Linked DNA regions of Arabidopsis thaliana. The protein of the gene in region 2 interacts with the protein of the main gene of each other region in a pairwise test. Each region holds a gene or a part of one and is shown on either strand. Other genes may lie near its edges.

Region 1 (5,570 bases), on a different chromosome or scaffold from region 2:
GGCTTGCTTTCTACATTACTTTTTTAGGGTTAGAATTTTGCTGGTCACTCAACTTGCTAACACACTTTGCTGGTCATTAAGAGTGAGTCCTTGATTTCTATGTAAAGATTAACTTGCTAACACACTTGGTTTTATCAATAAATTTCTTGTTCACAGAAGGAGTATTGCATATGTTTAGGTGGATGGCTATCGATCTTTACGTAAGAGCGATTGACATCTTAAAATTATACGCCGCTCTGAGAATGAATGTGTGTTTTCTGACCCTCAAGTGCTTCAGACACTGAGAATGAATGTGTGTTTTCTGATCCTCAAGTGCTCGACTTCTATATTAATTCGAAAGGAGTTAAGATCAAGTAGATTGTTGAACCTCAGTGAACTAGTTAATGCCCTCTGTGATCATTTATTCCCATTTTGCTTAGTCTGCCTATATATAATTCTAAGTCAATGAACTTGTATAATATTCTAAGCAAGACATCAGTAGCATATAGTATAAGTTGATACACAATAATTAAGCCAAATGACTTGGGAAATTATACGACTTCAGATAAAAAGCGCTCTAGTCTATGGAGTAGATTAAGCATCTGCTGGTGCTGGAGTCGATAGGCTCCATAGCCAACGTACATTTTGTTTCATTTTAGAAAAAGCATTACAAGTTCTTGTTTGGACTATCAGACAACAAAAAAAAGTAACTTTTATAATTCGCCTAGGACCCAAAAGTTATGAGCACGGGTCTAATAGTCTAACATTAATAAGTGTTATTGATTAAGATCGTAGGCATGATTAAAGATGCATTCCAGCTTCAGTTAATAGTCGGTACTATAGTTCCTAGTGTTATTGATACTATTCTGCTTTACTAAATCAAAATTTCAAACTATTAAATAATATAGACTTGTAAGCAAACAATAATAAGGATATGATATCAATAATTATCGATTTCTATTGAAAATAATTTTGTCCTATACGAACAACAATAACTGTTTCACCAAATCAATATCCAATTTTGCTTGGAGTGGCCATGCAAGATACTTGTCCTTGACCCTTTTCTTTGTCTCATACCAGCTTAGAAAGTCATTGTTTAGGCAAGTACCATTAACATTATTTAAAATACAGATCAAGTCACGCTAATACAGATCAAATCAAGTACCATTAGATTTTCTTCTTCTTTTGGTTGTAATAAAGAAGAGCATAATTTCAGATGTTGCAATCTATATAGTCTACGAGTAATAGAGTTCAATTCCATCATCATTAGCCATGATAATAAAGACGTAACACATAACGACACATTGAACTTAAAATAAATAAATAAATAAATAAAAATGATAAGAAAGGAACAATCAAAGAAAAGGCCAAGCAAATTGATTGATATTTTTGTAAAGCTTACGTAAAAAACTTATATGAAAAAAATACGTAAATGGATATAAGATTTGATGGCACAATACAAAGACACGAGTGGTGAGAAAAGAAAGAAGAAAAAGCAAGAACCCAAATGGATCACACATCTCATCAATTCTCCTTAAATGGCTAAAAAAGATCTCACCCTTCTTTACTTTTTTCCCTCTTTCTGATTTGTGATAATTGAAACCAGCACAAGAAGACAACACCATTTTCTTATAACTTTATAAAATTTTATAAATAGAGACACATACATATATATATATATAGAGACATGTAAATAGTAAAATGTAGGGTCTCTTCCCTAATTTAAAGCCTGCAACAGAAATGAGTGCACTTCTCTGTAGTAAACAGTAACACATCGGTCTTCTTCATGTCTTTGGATTTCTTTTTTGGATTTCGATTCTGTTTCAACCATATATTTTCTTTAGATAATTTTACTAGATTCATCTCTTTCTCTATGAACAACATTTTAAATAAATGACATTTTAAGAAAGTGATTATATATAAGATTTTCTTGATTCTGATTTATCTTTTTTTTTGGTCGGAAGATCTTAAAGATATGAAAATGGATTCGTGTCATAAACAGAGGCAGCTCCGTACGTGATTTGGCCCTCCTTCTTTTCAACTTCTTCTTTCTTGAATATTAAAGTTGTATTTTTCCCCTCGATAATACAACTTTTGGTTTGTTTATTTAGTTATAAAATGTTGCTATTTGTTGATCTAGTGCTCTGAATCTTTTAGTGAGGCAGATGATGAAGATTATGAATTTCTTCATGAAATTATTGTAAGAAAAAGTAAGTAATTTTTTTTGTAAGTGTTTGCGTTCATGCAAAAGAGATTAATCAGACCCACTTTTCTCTTTTTCAGTTTTGTTGCATTATTTTGTTCTCTTTAATTTATGAATACTAACTTTATTGTTGATTTCTGCTTTTTGGTTCTCTTTAGGAACATAGAGAAGCTGCGGAATGAAAGTACACTGTTCTTTCACGGAGAAAGAAGATAAATAAGCATTATCTTCTTCTTCAGTTTTTAACACACATTTTGGAAATTTTGATGTAAAAATTCTCTTTGGAACGTTGTGTTGTCTGAAATCTTCCCAAAGGTTCTATCAGAAGAAGAAGGATAAAGGCAAGTTTCAACATTTTTAATGTTCTATGGACATTTGTAGTAATCTAAAGCTTTCTTTTTTACTTATTAGTTCACTGTTTATCACAGATAGCTTTGAGATATTATTGGTCTGTGTATCATTGAGCCTAGTTACGGCTTCATTAACTCATGTTTCGGTTCTTTATATATTTTAATGAAATATTTAATGACATAGTGAGCGATGTTCTCTGTCTCTTGCAGCATTTTACATTTAGTACTATTCTCCAAAGATTTGGTTTCTTAGATTTTCTGAAATCTTTTGTCTAAGTCTTAAATACTTGTCTTCTTTGGTAATGCAGTTTCATAGAAACCCAATGGACAACAACAACAACAACAACACTTTTAGTTCTCTGGATAATGTCATGACTAACCAAAATCCTCTTCTCATGGATTTTATACCTTCAAGAGAAGATTCAACTTCATTCTCAACAATGCTTCCATGGAATACCATCAGATCAGATCCTCTACAAATGGGTGGCTTTGATATTTTCAATTCTATGCTGACTAACAAATACTTATCATCTTCTCCACGGTCTATCGATGTTCAAGATAACCGCAATGTTGAGTTCATGGCTCCTCCTCCTCATCCTCCTCCACTTCATCCTTTGGATCATTTAAGACACTATGATGATTCCTCAAACAACATGTGGGGTTTTGAAGCAAATAGTGAGTTTCAGGCATTTTCAGGTGTAGTTGGTCCAAGTGAACCAATGATGTCTACATTCGGTGAAGAAGATTTCCCGTTTCTAATTTCGAATAAAAGAAACAATGAGCTTTCATTGAGTCTTGCATCAGATGTTTCTGATGAATGCTCGGAGATAAGTCTTTGTGCAGCTACAAGATTAGCCTCAGAGCAAGCTTCTTGCAGCAGCAAAGACATTTCTAATAACGTTGTTACTCAAGGTTTCTCTCAACTTATATTTGGCTCAAAATACCTTCACTCTGTTCAAGAAATACTATCTCATTTCGCCGCATACTCGCTCGATTATTCATCTCGAGGAACCGAGTCAGGAGCTGCTAGTTCAGCCTTTACTTCACGTTTTGAGAATATAACTGAGTTTCTTGATGGTGATTCTAATAACTCGGAGGCGGGTTTCGGATCTACATTTCAAAGGAGAGCATTAGAAGCAAAGAAAACCCATCTCTTGGATCTTCTTCAAATGGTATGTAATATATTCATTCACTTTTTTTGCATAAGTTAAAAAAATGGTTTGATATATATGATGAAGTTTTATGAGTTGATATTTCTCTTCAGGTGGATGATCGATATAGTCATTGCGTAGATGAGATTCATACGGTTATATCAGCGTTCCATGCTGCAACCGAGTTAGATCCACAGTTACACACCCGGTTTGCCCTCCAAACCGTTTCCTTCTTATACAAGAACCTGAGAGAGAGAATCTGCAAGAAGATAATCTCTATGGGATCTGTATTGGAGAGAGGCAAAGACAAGACTCAAGAAACCTCTATGTTCCACCAGCATTGCCTTCTTCAGCAGCTGAAACGAAAGAACCATCAGATTTGGAGACCTCAACGAGGTTTGCCTGAGAAATCTGTTTCGGTTCTACGGAATTGGATGTTCCAAAACTTCCTTCACCCGTAACAATCCTTACTCTTCTTAACTATCTACTTTATGATGATGACATTGTTAACTCGATTTTATAAGCAAAGTTATGTTTTATTTAATGCAGTTACCCGAAAGATTCGGAGAAACATCTTCTAGCTATACGAAGTGGCTTGACAAGAAGTCAGGTAATGTCTCATGTTTGTTTTCTTATGCAATGACTCATTGATAACAAGCTTTGTTTTCTTATGCAATGACTCATTGATAAGATCTTTGTTTTCTTATGCAATGACTTATTGATAACATCTTTGCTCACAATGATAGCAAATATGGTATTCAAATGAGTAATATATATCTTGACATACTAGTCATGTCTGAAAAACCGGTATTGGTTATTTTAAGATGAGATTAGGGCTAGGAAAAAATCAAGCTTTTCTCTTGAACTACAAATGAGACTAGATTATGTATTCTTGAATTCACAATAATGTTACTCAAGTCCTAGGATTGTAGTCGCACATATGTTTTGTTACTGAAGTAAGTTAAAGCGGGCAAATGATATAGAGTGTGTCTCTTTGTTGTGTGTGATTAAAGGTATCAAACTGGTTTATAAATGCGCGGGTTAGGCTATGGAAGCCGATGATAGAAGAGATGTATGCGGAAATGAACAAGAGGAAGCTCAATAACAGTCACATTCAACCCAACGGACCAACTCTTCGAATGCCAAAATCTGTTATGATGAGCCAAGCAATGCATAAATAAGACAACAATTGTGTTTACCAACTTTGTGATAATTAGGCAATTGCTACTCTATGATTGCCCAAAACCTAAACCATGTACGACTATCATTACGTATGTTATAATTGTATATACAACTCCTTTATCTTTGACTATTTCATTTTATTATCCTGTATTCTTATATCATAATTATCATCATCCTCATTAAACTTCATGATCACCATTTTTACGTAAAAATAAAATTAAGTTCATGAAAATATATAAAAAGTATGTAACCACTGAAGATTTATTTTCATATTTATTCAAACAAACTACAAAATACAAACCTAAAGTTTTATTTCACCGTTTGCATTTAACTTTTTTTCTCTTACAAGTGAGTTTTATTATTCCAAAAACTGAAATGAATAATGACGAAAATCTCCTAGCAAGCGACGTCGTATTTTGGTTTGACTTGAGAATCTTCGGTCAACTAATAAAAACGCAGCGTTTTCATCTGGTACGGACACAATTAGAAATAGAAAGTAGGAAAAGGAAGACACTTTGCTAAAACTGAGGAAGAAAGTGTAAAGACGGAGCCTTTTACGGCGAATGGAGGAAGACAGAGCCACCATGACCGGAGCTGTAGCCACTCGAGACTCGGTGGAACCCAGCGAAGACATACTCATATGCGTCGATGTTGATGCGGAATCGACGGTGGAGATGAAGACCACTGGAACTAACGGTAAGCCTT
Region 2 (6,388 bases):
CACTGTGGATTCGAAACTTTCGCGTTCAAGCAGCAAAAAGAATACTTGAGAGACCTTATTCCAACACTTGAAACTTCTTTGCGATTCTGCCGTCTGAATATATATGTTTCGAGTTTGATATCAGGAGCTTGTGGTTTGGTGTTATCGCATCTTGTTAACATGGAAGATGATTGGGAAAGATCAGAGAATACAAAACAAGTATAGGTTTGCTTCTTGTTTAAGTGTTTAGCTAAGGTAGAAATTAATCAATTCTTCTGCTATAGGAAACTGTAACTCGTTGTAACTTGTTCATTTCGCAACAAAAACTTCTCGAATTGGTTCTTATTTCCTTCCATATACGTATACAGTCGCTGCAAGTGGGTTGTCATTATAATTTCTCATAAGTTCACAGACTTGTTCAAAATAGATACTTGTTCCGAAATTCAGGAAGGATGCTGCAAGCTTCGTGTTGGGGAATTTACCTCGCTCTTGACGAATTATTAAGGTTTTAGAAAATTGGGTCTCAAACAGTCTATCAACTTAAAATGCATGTTTCAAGCAGGAACGTTCTTCAATATATGACAAATAACTATTATCATCGTGACTTTTTGACGTAGGAATTTATGTGGTTAGAAAATGAAGATAAAGCGAGCTTGACCATTTTCAAATTTTTTATGCTACACCGTTTTTACCGAACCATTTGATACAACTTACTAAGCATAAACAAAAGAGGCAGGCTTTATTAAAGTTTTCAGTTTTTTCACCATCGAACTTACTTAGAAGGTATTTACAAAGCCAATGCCTTCAAAACTACAAAGGCCTTTTTTCGTTAGGAAACAACTTAAAAGGAACTGCGCCACCATTTCTACTACGACTCAAAGTCCTCAACTCCAGAAAACATACAAACAACACTTGAGACGCAGATTGTTCATACTAAAACCATACGCGACACCAACCCGATCGTGTTTAGGCTGCCTCTGCAAACCCGACCTGTTCGTTACCAAAGTCAAATACGGTGTGGTATTTGCCCATGAACACATCTCCCAAGATCCTGTTACATTTTTACCACCGTTCTTAGGGTTAGAAAAAGAAAGCAAGAAGAAATTGTGCTACAGAGTAATAGATTCAATGGTTTACCAGAGAGGTCCACGAGGTGGAGCAACGTCAAGAGCAATAAAACCACTGATGCACTGTGCCACAGGTCCCTCACCAACTTTCAGAACATACTGCTCACATCATACCAGTACAACAGATTAGTAGATGGTCATATTCACTACATAATATGAATGTTGTCTTTAAATAGTTCACTATCATACCTCTTCTGGAGCAAGATCAAATACTTTGCCTCCAATGGTAAGTGAAACAGTGGGCATTGTTGACAGTTGTGCACAGTCAACTGCAGACTCTCCCATTGGGCTGGGGAGGCGTTCACATAGCTGTTAAGAAAACCCACAGTAGCGATTTATAATCAGTAATCAGGACAACAATAACTACTGTTTCACAAAAGTCTTGAAATGACAACTTATTGGTTACCTCGTTGACGTAGTTCAATATGCGCTCTTGAGTCATGTTTTGCCTCAACTGGCTCTGGATCCACACAACAGCCATCTCACATGCAGAACACGCAGCATCTCCAACACCATTAGACAATTTGGCGTTTTCCTTGTCCACCACCGACTCAATGCCCATACTAGATAATTTATAAACAAAATCATACTAAATATGAGCAGATCACACGGAAAAACAAACAAGCATTCCAAAATGAAGATCCTAGCTTAATGGCAATGACTACAGATTATAACTTTACCTGACACCACGGGTACCATCAAAAGTACACAGACCAATCTGCGAGCAGATTTTCTTCGGTTGGGTCTGCAAGGCGCAAGGGGGATGAATGGTAAGCCAAAATAATTTGCACAGCATATGACTTGTCACAGATTTTATTAGCTAGTCCAATATTAAGCACACTAACCTCAGACAAAAGTAAATCCAAAATGGTCTGCCCGTATTGATCCACAACAGTCTTGCACTGCTGGCTAACAACTCCAGCTGCTCCAATAGCATGGTTTATCATGGTGATTATAGTCTACACAGGGAAAAAATTGAAATATTACTACATATACTAGTTAAAAAACCATAATTCTATAAAGCTATAAGCAATTTTAATTCTTGCTTACCGTTGGACCGGCAAGCAAAGATGTACCAGAATCTGCTATCGCAGAACAGCCACTTTCACAGAACCCTGTATAACAGTAACTCAAACTTTAGAACCAGTTGTCACCAGCAAACATAAATAGCAAAACCTTTTTGAATTTGTCAGGAAAAGCTATATATATGTGTTATAAAGAACAACGCCAATCAGTGTTACACATACCAGTGGGTGCACCGCCAATAAGAACATCACCCATGTCAAACTATAACAAAATATATATAGCTTGAGTTAGATCGTCACTGGAAAACGTTATGAGAAAACCAGACAAGGAAGTGATGTATCACAAACCTGCCAGTAGCCCTTTTGTGTCACAGGAACATATGTATGTTTGCCCTTGAAATGATTTGGATCAACACCTCCAAATACAAGTTCACCACCTTCTTCTTCATCTGCATTACGGTTAAGCCAAAATGAAAAAACCGGCTCCTTGATAAGGCCTTGCTTGAGCATGTTGTACCTGTAAAAAACAAGACATATTAGCATTAACACTACAGGAATGTAGTAACTCAGTCCAAACAAGAGAAGAATGTGCAGGCATACCAAACAGGAGCAGCTTTTCCAACAGAGATCTCTTGGAATCCAAGACCAAGGATACCATCAAATTTAGCTACAACAAATGTTATACCAGGCTCCTTGGTTGCCTCGATAAACTCCTGATGAGATAGACAAATGTTAAGAAGGAGGTCATTGATGTGTATGTTGTAAGAGTACTGATTAGGGTCGGACATATAGTTTACCTGATCCTTGACAACTAAATCGCCAACTGTGACAGCATCATTACTAAAAAAACCAGCAATTGCTCCAGTGCCGTAATGAATTGCGGCAGCTTTTCCTGCATCAAAGATGAGCAAGTTAGTTATAACCTAGCAGCTGCTATCAGTAGTGATGTTGCATCTTTTAACAATGGTTTTCTGCACATTAACATGAATTCTAGAGGCTACATTGAGTGAACTGTAAAGTATCTACCAACTGGGAAATCCAACTGCAAAAAATTTCAAGTTAAGAGAGAGAACAAACCATTCTTCTCATATGTGCTTGAACGAGACGACTTGTATTTGGGATGCAAGAGACATGCAAGCTGCAAAAGAGATAGAACACAATTAGTTTTCTACTCAAAAGTATCTCAACCACAGCTAACAACAATAGTCCAAATGTTGCTTACTGAGAAATAGCATTTTGATGATGGCACCCAGAGGTTAGAGCTCCCAGTGTCAAAAACCACAGTGAACTTCTGAGGTGGAGTACCAATGGCGATCTCACCATAGTACTGAGCATCTAGATAATTCTTAAGCACAACAACATCAGCATCTCCAGAATCTCCAAGTCTGTAAGCTCTCAGGGGCTTTTCTTGCTTGGATTCGACGCGTGCTGCAAGCCGATTTTTCGAATCCAACTTGAGTTTTTTCAGTCCAACTCTGAAGGTCCCGTCATTGCGCTCAGCAAAGGCAGAGAAACACAGGAGGAATGACACAATGAGTGAAACAGCAACCGTTCTAGAGTATATCTTCATTTTACCTATTCATTGACAACAAAAACCAAAAACATAAAACAAAGAAAGTTAGAATCAAGAGACCATCACAGAGAAAAAAAGCAGAGAACCATACCCATAAAAGTCAACCAGTATGTATACATATATTTATATCAGAGAGTTCATATTGAATGATGCAACATAAAAGAAAATTTGTAAAGTGACTAAAAATAGGCTAACTCGGTCCTCCTCCTCAAACAGATAACGAAGGACAATGTTACACGCAATATATTGTACAAACTACAAATTATTAGTTTAATTGGTCTCTCTCAATCAGCCACGAAGCAATAGCGTGGAAGCAATAAATAAAGTAAAAACTCTCTTGACTTTGCAAATGACTAAAGACTTCTTTTGCTAGAGAAAGTGATATAAACCTTGAAATCGACATTTGCTTGCCGAAATCAGAAAGCAAATACCCAGATTACAACAAAACCCTAAACATCCGTTCCTATAAACCTTTTCAACATAAATGGAAAGTTTTGTTCAATAAGACAAGCAATCTAGTAAAAAAAGGAAACAATCTCAATTGCACCAAGACTCACATGCAACATAATTGATTCATAAGACACTGAAAATCGCCACAATCGCGACAATAACAAGAGCATGAAATTTATTTTCTTCTTCTCAATCAACTAAAAACGATCACAACTATAATCGATAAATCTTCAAGTAAACAGTCCGATTACGTAATCAAACAAACCTAAAACCCCAAATAAATTCATACCACCGATGAAACCAAAATTAGCCACAAACCATACACAGATCACAAAATCTAAGCGAGTCTACTAATCACATCATACAATCATCCAGATTCAAAATCGAAGAACATGAAATTCGGTAACAAAACTCTTACCTAACTGCTCAGAAAACGATTTATGAACAAATCCACGAGTATTAAGGACAATAAATTAAGCAGAGAACTAAAAGTATAAGACAATCAACGAGAAGAGAATCGATAAGTTTCATAAGAAAGAGAGCTCACCAAAGCTAAAGCACCAGATTCTCAGAGAAATGAGGATTTTTGTTGAAGAAAACGAGAAGAGAGATGGTTACATTTATTTGCGAAGAAAGAGATGACTGTGAGGAGGGATAATGCTAAATTAACCGCGCTGTCTCCTAAATGGACAATTACAGGTGGAGGCCCACTGTATAATCCCGTCAAAAAAAAAAAGGAGATTTCGTGTGGGCTAATGTTTCGTTATTAGCCGTTGGATCTCTATATTGAACGATTGGATTTAATCGTTGACGGATGGATAGGAAGGCGTAACGTATCAAGTTTTATATTTAGTGAGAAATCACGTGTTTACGAATTTAGAGTGGATTACGTGCTCCTTGGAATACTAACCGTTGGATTGAGATGACTGAAATTGAACGGTTTCGATTAAAGAGTTCACCTTACATGGATAATGATCAATGTGTTGTTTATATTGGGCCTATGAGAAGCCCAATGTGTTGTTTACATTGAGATTATCTTCCAAAGATTACTTCACAAATCACAACCCTTTAAACGAAATTCTAAATAAAAGAAAATTCAAAACTATTATATACTGAAATTACTATTTTGTATTTTATAAGGTTCTCATACATTTTATTTTTTTTGTTAAATGGTTTTTAGATAACATGTTAAAGAACAAATTTTGTTGTAAAATATCAGAAAAAAGAATAGTACGTTTGTTGACATATTGTATGTAAATATTTCAAATAATCTGAAACAAAACCACGAGTCCTCTTGGAATACTTTATACTAAAAAGAAAGGTGAAATTTTAAAAACAAACCGAAACCTAAAATAAGCAATATTAACAAGCACATGACAAGATTGATTCTTAAACTCTTTAACAAGACATTCCAAGCTTACTCAACACTTCACACCACCAAATTATAATCTCATAACTAAAAACTACCCAATAATCAAATCTAAACTCCTAATTTTTGAACAATGTCTCCACTTCACTCTTACATTATCTTCTTCTCCCTTCTCATGACCATCCTTCTTCAATCATCAACAACATCATCCCAATCAAATCTCTGCAGATCTTCTTGCGGCAACATTCCGATAAATTACCCTTTTTCCATCGACGACGGTTGTGGTAGCCCTTATTACAGACACATGCTCATTTGCTCCGACAACGATACCAAGCTCGAACTTAGAACACCATCTGGTAAATACCCTGTTAAATCTATAAGCTACTCTGATCCTCACCTTCTTGTCTCCGATCCATTCATGTGGAACTGTCAAGATCGAGACAATTTTCGACCCACTAGATCTTTTAGCATCGATTCAAGTACACACTTCACTGTCTCTCCTCAAAACGACTACTTGTTCTTCAACTGCAACACCGATAAAGTTATCGTCGAACCAAAACCGCTCTTCTGCGAAAGGTTTCCAGATAGATGTGACTCGTCCTGCGATAGTTCTAGCTATCTATGCAGACATTTGCCTGAATGTGGCTCTGCTTTGGGATCTAGGGTTTCTTGTTGTTCGTATTACCCTAAAGCGACTCAATCTCTTAGGCTCATGCTGCAGGACTGTGCGACGTATACAAGTGTGTATTGGAGGAGTACAGGTGTGGAGAATGCACCGTATGATCAGTTTCCAGAGTACGGGATAAGGGTTGATTACGAATTTCCAGTGACAATGAAGTGCCTTCTTTGCCAAGAAACGACTAAA
Region 3 (5,730 bases), on a different chromosome or scaffold from region 2:
TCGCAACATATTTCATGTGTTTCACTAAATTTCATTATTTATTAATATCTATAGAAAGGTATTTGGGCCCAAAAAAAGTTATGGGCCGAAAATGAGTAAAATATATATTAAATATTCGCATATGTTTTTGTAAACTTTTTTCTTACAAACCTCTCCGAAATTAGTCTCACACTCTCACGCAGTCTTCATATAAATATTCTGTCAATGTCTTTAATAACAGAAAAAAAAAATTGTTACTGTTATTGTAAGTTTATCTCTCAGCAGGTGACGCTATTCTACAAAATGATTTGAACATTTTCATTTTTATATATCTTGAAAAGAAAATTTATAACAAGTTTTATAAACGTTAATCTTAATTGATTTAAAAAAAAAAACTATACACAAAGTTTGAAATCTGAATTCAATTCAACAGTTCGTAAGATCTTATTTCAGAGATTGCTTTCTTTGTTTTTTTTTATATTTGTATTGTGAATGTGTAGAATTTTATTTAATATGCTTTTAACACATAAACACTCCTCAAAAAATATTATAAGTTTCCAGCCGCTTAAGCATACATGTCATATTCGGAATCTATACAGCTTAGATCTAATCTGTAATCATCATTCCATATTTGATAGATCAGTTCACTATCTTATTAATTATTACATTGTAATAAAAGTAAAAATATATTTTGGTATACACCCAATGCAAGCTATTACACGTAACTAATCCATATACATATATAACCCTATCCATCCCCCAATAGAAACGAAAAAAAAAAATTACAAAATCGATATACAACCGTCGGCCATATATAACCAAAGACTAAAATTAAATTTTGTTCTTTGTTTTGGTTCAATGGTATGAGAAACTATATACTAATTAAAAACTAGAAACGTATATAATAACCTGTTTCGGTTTCTCCTTCTAGAGAGATGGGTTTATGCAACGAAGTCGGGCAATAACTGAGCCACATATCTCTTCTGGTTCTGTATGTTCATCCCATTGTAAGCCGCGGCAGCTGCCGCTGATGAATGTGCGGTTGTGGTCGAGCTACCACCATTGATGGTGGCGGGTCCATATTCCTCTGTTTCTCCTATTTTCACTCTTCTCCCTATAGGAATCCCATGGTGGGTCTGCATGAAACCCTGATGGTGCGTGGACGACAAGCTATCACAATGAGGTAAACCTAACGTGAGGGACACGCCATTGTTGTTTCCTGAGTACCTTTGCGCCATGAGCTCCTGGTCTGAGACTACATCAAATCTTGACATCTCATCCATTTGGTATTGCCCGAAATTACCCATGAAAGGGTAGCCACCATCTGATCTTATCCCTTGCCGTTCTTCTAGAATCTTCATCGTGAGCTTCTCGTTGGAGCTGAAATCCGCATTTATTGGCTGCATCATTGTCTCGTCGCTGGTTCTTAGTCTCTTGGGGCTTCCTTGCATTCCAGTGACGCCTTCTAGGTCACCGTTGTGATTGGGATTCATATGGTAATTAGTGTCCGCCATTGGGCTCTTTTCTTGGTTACTTGTTGACTTTGAAGCAGAATCTTCGTTGCTTTGATCCAAAGGAGTCTTTTCCATGGATCCCATGTTCTTTGCCTGCTCCTTCATTTCCTCCATGTACATCTCCTCCACCATTGGTTTCCATAACCGAACTCTCGCGTTTATAAACCAGTTCGACACCTAAATAATTAAAGAAAATAAATTTACTTAAAAACGCTTTCTTAAGTAACCTAATAACACAAGAAAGAATCATTTTGAAACGTACCTGGCTACGAGTGAGTCCTGTTTGCTTAGCTAGCATGTGCTTGTCCGAATCCTTAGGGTATCTAATTAAAAGAAAGACAACTTAGAGACTGAGTTTGTGTTCCAGTGATGAAAAGTAGTGCATGTGTGTATAGTGGGTTACTTACGGATGAAGAAAGTGTTCGAAGAGCCAAGCACGGAGAACTGAGACGGCTCGTTCTGGGAGACCACGTTGAGGTCTCCAAGCATTATTGGAAGGATGTTGAATCATTCCCAGTTGTTGAAGAGCTCTTTGCTGTCTCAAGTGGTGGTCCACGAACTTGAGCCTCGACCCCTCAAACCTCCCAACACCAGACACTGAATCTTCCTCCCCAAGACTCTTGTTGGCCGCTTTTATCTGACCAGCGATCGCCTCTTTCAAGCAACGGAACTGTCTTGATATGGTTTTCAATGCTAGCGACGTGTATGACTTCGCTGATCCTATCCCTGCCGCTTGCTCGAACGAAGAGATCACCATCTGCATCTGCTGGTGGTACTGTCTATATCTCTGCTCCACCTTTTCATTTTTCAACCAACAAAGTAACGTGAGTCTTATGAACATAAGTGTACGGTCTACATAAATATAATCTATAAAAGTTGTTAGTCTTTACTAAGAGAGGGACAAAAAAAAAAAGATTTCATCAATCTTGTAAGTTGTCAATTTGAGAAATCGGAAGAGCAAAAAAAAAAAAGGATAGCTTAATATACATATAAAATGAATTGTGAAAATGACTGAAAATCTTAGGGACAGAACTTTTAAGTCCACTTCATGTGTGATATAAGAGAGCACTCAGTATATGTAGGCTTATTGTATATAATACGTATTGTTGTTACCTCATGAAGCATGTTACTAAGTTTTGCTTTCTTCATCTGTATTTCTTGTCTCTCTGCCGTGCCTAGCTCCACCGGACGTTTCCCGGCTGCTTCTGCTCCGCCACCGGAACCTTCTCCTCCAGCGCCGGCCGATGATTCTCCGACAGGTTTATCATTTCCGCAACTACCCTTTTTCGATGAGAATAGTTGGGATTTAGCGTTCATGTCATCGGAATCAGCGTTGACTACTTCGTCAAGAAGCTCTTGTGCTGCCTTCAAGTACTTGGAGCTAACAAGATTAGCTATACCGTTTGTTACCCCCGATCCTGTAGAGCCAGACCCGACCCGGATATCTTCTCCATGTCCGGACCCGAATCCGACGTGAATAGGCTGGTGTTGTTGATGATGTTGCTGTTGCTGCTGCTGTTGAGACGAGAGGGTTAAAGAGAGGCCTTGCTGCGCGCGTGGCGTCTCACACGCGGCTTGCTGGTGAGTGGGATCCACTTGGTGGCTACCGTAGAGACTGTACTGCACGCGCGGAGGATAACCGTGAAGTACGGAGATGTTGTCGGCGGCTGTAATGGAAGCAGCTTCGTGACCTGAGAGTGGTATTCCGACGAACTGCTGGCTCGCGTTTGGCTGCGGCGCGTGGGAATCGAGGAAAACGAAACTACTGTTGTTGTTGTTTGTGTTTGTGTTTGTGTTGTTGTTGTTGCTATTGTTGCTGTTGTTGTTGTTGTTCGAGTCGTTGTCTTGTTGGGTGTACTGAACGTAAGTAGTTGGATTCATGAGGATCAACGTTTGAAGACCACCGTCGGATCCGGCAGAGATCTCCGGTGGGTTTCCGTGAAAGTAAGCAGCCATCTATGTATAATTAGTAGTTGTTACACACGAATGAAACGACGTCGTTTTCTTTGATTCTCTTTCAATTCTTGACCTTCTTTCACCAAGCTGATTGATATCATAGAAAAACAAACAAAAGTATGAAAAAGGAGCAAAAACAAAACCACTATAAGTTTAATATAGATCTGTATATATATACAGTTGAAGCGAAGAAAAAAAGAATCGTGATCACATCAAGAAGACGAAGAAGAAGGGATGAATTATGGATTATGAGAAAGAGAGATTGAAGGATATGGAAATTAAGACATAATCATGATTGAAAATAAAATAATAAAATAATAGAGTTAGAAATTGAAAGAAAAAATGAATATTATAAAAGATGAAGAACCTGGATTGATAGAGATCTGAGGATGCACGTGTTTCATGATCATCTCAAGCTGCAAAAGGAAAGTTACATTAGAGAATTTCTATCAAAGAGAAAGAGAGAGAGACAGACACACACACATACACACGAATATACACTTATATATATATATTTATATGCATACCTGTGTTTGTGGAGATGTGTGTGATTGCTATGTGAGTTTGGTCTCTGTGTCAGACTCAAAGATCTCTGCAACTCTTTTCTTGCTCAAAGGGGAAATATAAAATACATTTAAAAAGCTGAGAAATAATATATAACAAAATAAAAATGACTAATATATATTGAAAGAGAGAGAGGATAAAGAAAGGAGAGATAAAAGATACCCATCTTTTCCTTCACTCATTAATCTTCCCACAGTCCTTAGTACGCCACCATTTTTCATCACTTTCTTTCTATTTTATTTTATTTTAGTGTTGTGGTCGGTATATCTTATAACCAAAGTGGATTTTTTGTTAAATGGGACAATAACCAATGTTTAGGACATGAAATATTCACTAATGTAACTTAATTTTACATTCATATATTGATATATACTTGTATCCGCAAAACAATTTGTGTGTGTGTGTGTGTTTACGTTCACCACCAGCTAATATTACTTATCTTTTTAATTTAATATGCTAAATAGACATTCCAACCATGTTGGAATTTGTTTTCAAAATTGATATTAAACTCTACACTTAGATATAGCTTTATGTAATCATTTAAATTAGTGTACTCTAGAGCAATTGGTTCAACAGTTTTTTTAAATAGAAAAAGATTAATGAATAAATTAAGAAAAAGACATAGCATTCTTTCATACTGCATGTTCAAAAAACCTTTACTTCATGTTATTATCACTATATAGCATGGTGATAAATAAGTTACAAAGTACATATATATCATAGGGAGCTAAAATTCATAAAACTAAGTGAGAAAATGTGCATATAATTGTTTGTTGTTGAAATTCTAGTTTGACATCCAGTACAAGAGATAATATTAAATTCGAAATATTTCAACTTCATAGACATATGTATACATTATTTGGTAATATATATGTGATACGTATCTTATTATAAATTTAGAATTGGTATACTTGAAAAACAGAGGAACTTGTATGATATGACTTTGGCCTTTTCATGTATTGACCAGGTAATGAACCCACATATCATAACAACCAAACACCCTTTATTTAGTTATTTATAGACGATATAATTTCATAGATGAAGTAAATGTTATCACATCAAGACATAGTGATATGTATGTCGTGTCCAATTTAGAATCATATCATTTTCTTTTAAAACATTATATTTGTATTTATTTAATAAAAAGAAATCCCACACGCATCTCAATCCAAATCTTTCTTTATTGATATAACTACAATCCTGAACATAAAGTATTCTTCGGATTACTATTCTTGCAGACTTTTATCATCTAGCAAGTTCAGAGTGTACACTGAGGATGGCAACGAACTTTGAACTGATTATGATTTATAAGTAATAAAATTAGTAATGTTTACGTTACCAAGTTCTTTTCATTTTTTCTTTTTTCAACTGTTTTTTTCTTTAATTTCATTTCATTATTTTCCTCAGCAGATTAACTAAGATACTTTATTTACAAAGTTTTATATTACCACATACACATAAAAACTTAAAACGCATCAACACTTTATTCTAGAAAATGAATAGATTTCATTTTTGAAAGTCCTACCGTTAGTTTATATTTTTCTTCCAAACACTCAAATAGGTTAAGAGTATAATATTTTAAATATACATAATGGGATTAGAGAAATTGAAAACTTATACGGAAAAGTGAATTGTGTCAGAAGATCCAAACAGCACAAAAACGAGGAAACGTCTCCTTCTGCAGAAACCTAAAATATTTAATCACACAAAAATCTAA

What was found.
Region 1: the proteins of APA1 (region 2) and ATH1 interact in a two-hybrid assay, tested with the Arabidopsis thaliana proteins (one large-scale study listed by BioGRID).
Region 3: the proteins of APA1 (region 2) and BLH1 interact in a two-hybrid assay, tested with the Arabidopsis thaliana proteins (one large-scale study listed by BioGRID).

Annotation. Positions count from the first base shown.
Region 1 is NC_003075.7:15,914,159-15,919,728, reverse strand, and holds ATH1 (homeobox protein ATH1), read left to right. Parts: upstream 1-1,575; 5' UTR 1,576-2,189; exon of another isoform or gene 2,190-2,340; 5' UTR 2,341-2,523; intron 2,524-2,840; 5' UTR 2,841-2,855; coding exon 2,856-3,704; intron 3,705-3,796; coding exon 3,797-4,140; intron 4,141-4,232; coding exon 4,233-4,293; intron 4,294-4,696; coding exon 4,697-4,864; 3' UTR 4,865-5,059; downstream 5,060-5,570. Other genes in the region: AT4G32970 (BRISC/BRCA1-A complex protein), read left to right, coding at 5,429-5,570. UniProt on the Arabidopsis thaliana protein: Transcription factor which may be involved in the signal transduction pathway downstream of the COP1 gene. Controls floral competency as a specific activator of FLC expression. Is responsive of the nuclear import of SHOOT MERISTEMLESS (STM).
Region 2 is NC_003070.9:4,016,174-4,022,561, forward strand, and holds APA1 (aspartic proteinase A1), read right to left. Parts: upstream 4,593-6,388; 5' UTR 3,824-4,592; coding exon 3,796-3,823; intron 3,707-3,795; coding exon 3,354-3,706; intron 3,270-3,353; coding exon 3,209-3,269; intron 3,024-3,208; coding exon 2,929-3,023; intron 2,845-2,928; coding exon 2,732-2,844; intron 2,649-2,731; coding exon 2,480-2,648; intron 2,394-2,479; coding exon 2,354-2,393; intron 2,222-2,353; coding exon 2,157-2,221; intron 2,066-2,156; coding exon 1,952-2,065; intron 1,852-1,951; coding exon 1,787-1,851; intron 1,670-1,786; coding exon 1,513-1,669; intron 1,416-1,512; coding exon 1,296-1,415; intron 1,206-1,295; coding exon 1,117-1,205; intron 1,031-1,116; coding exon 946-1,030; 3' UTR 539-945; downstream 1-538. Other genes in the region: AT1G11905 (B-cell receptor-associated protein 31-like protein), read left to right, coding at 1-49; AT1G11915 (wall-associated receptor kinase galacturonan-binding protein), read left to right, coding at 5,657-6,388. UniProt on the Arabidopsis thaliana protein: Involved in the breakdown of propeptides of storage proteins in protein-storage vacuoles. Possesses aspartic protease activity in vitro.
Region 3 is NC_003071.7:15,088,251-15,093,980, forward strand, and holds BLH1 (BEL1-like homeodomain 1), read right to left. Parts: upstream 4,166-5,730; 5' UTR 3,977-4,165; intron 3,929-3,976; exon of another isoform or gene 3,866-3,928; 5' UTR 3,817-3,865; exon of another isoform or gene 3,537-3,816; 5' UTR 3,450-3,536; coding exon 2,607-3,449; exon of another isoform or gene 2,290-2,606; coding exon 1,901-2,289; intron 1,817-1,900; coding exon 1,756-1,816; intron 1,671-1,755; coding exon 921-1,670; 3' UTR 512-920; downstream 1-511.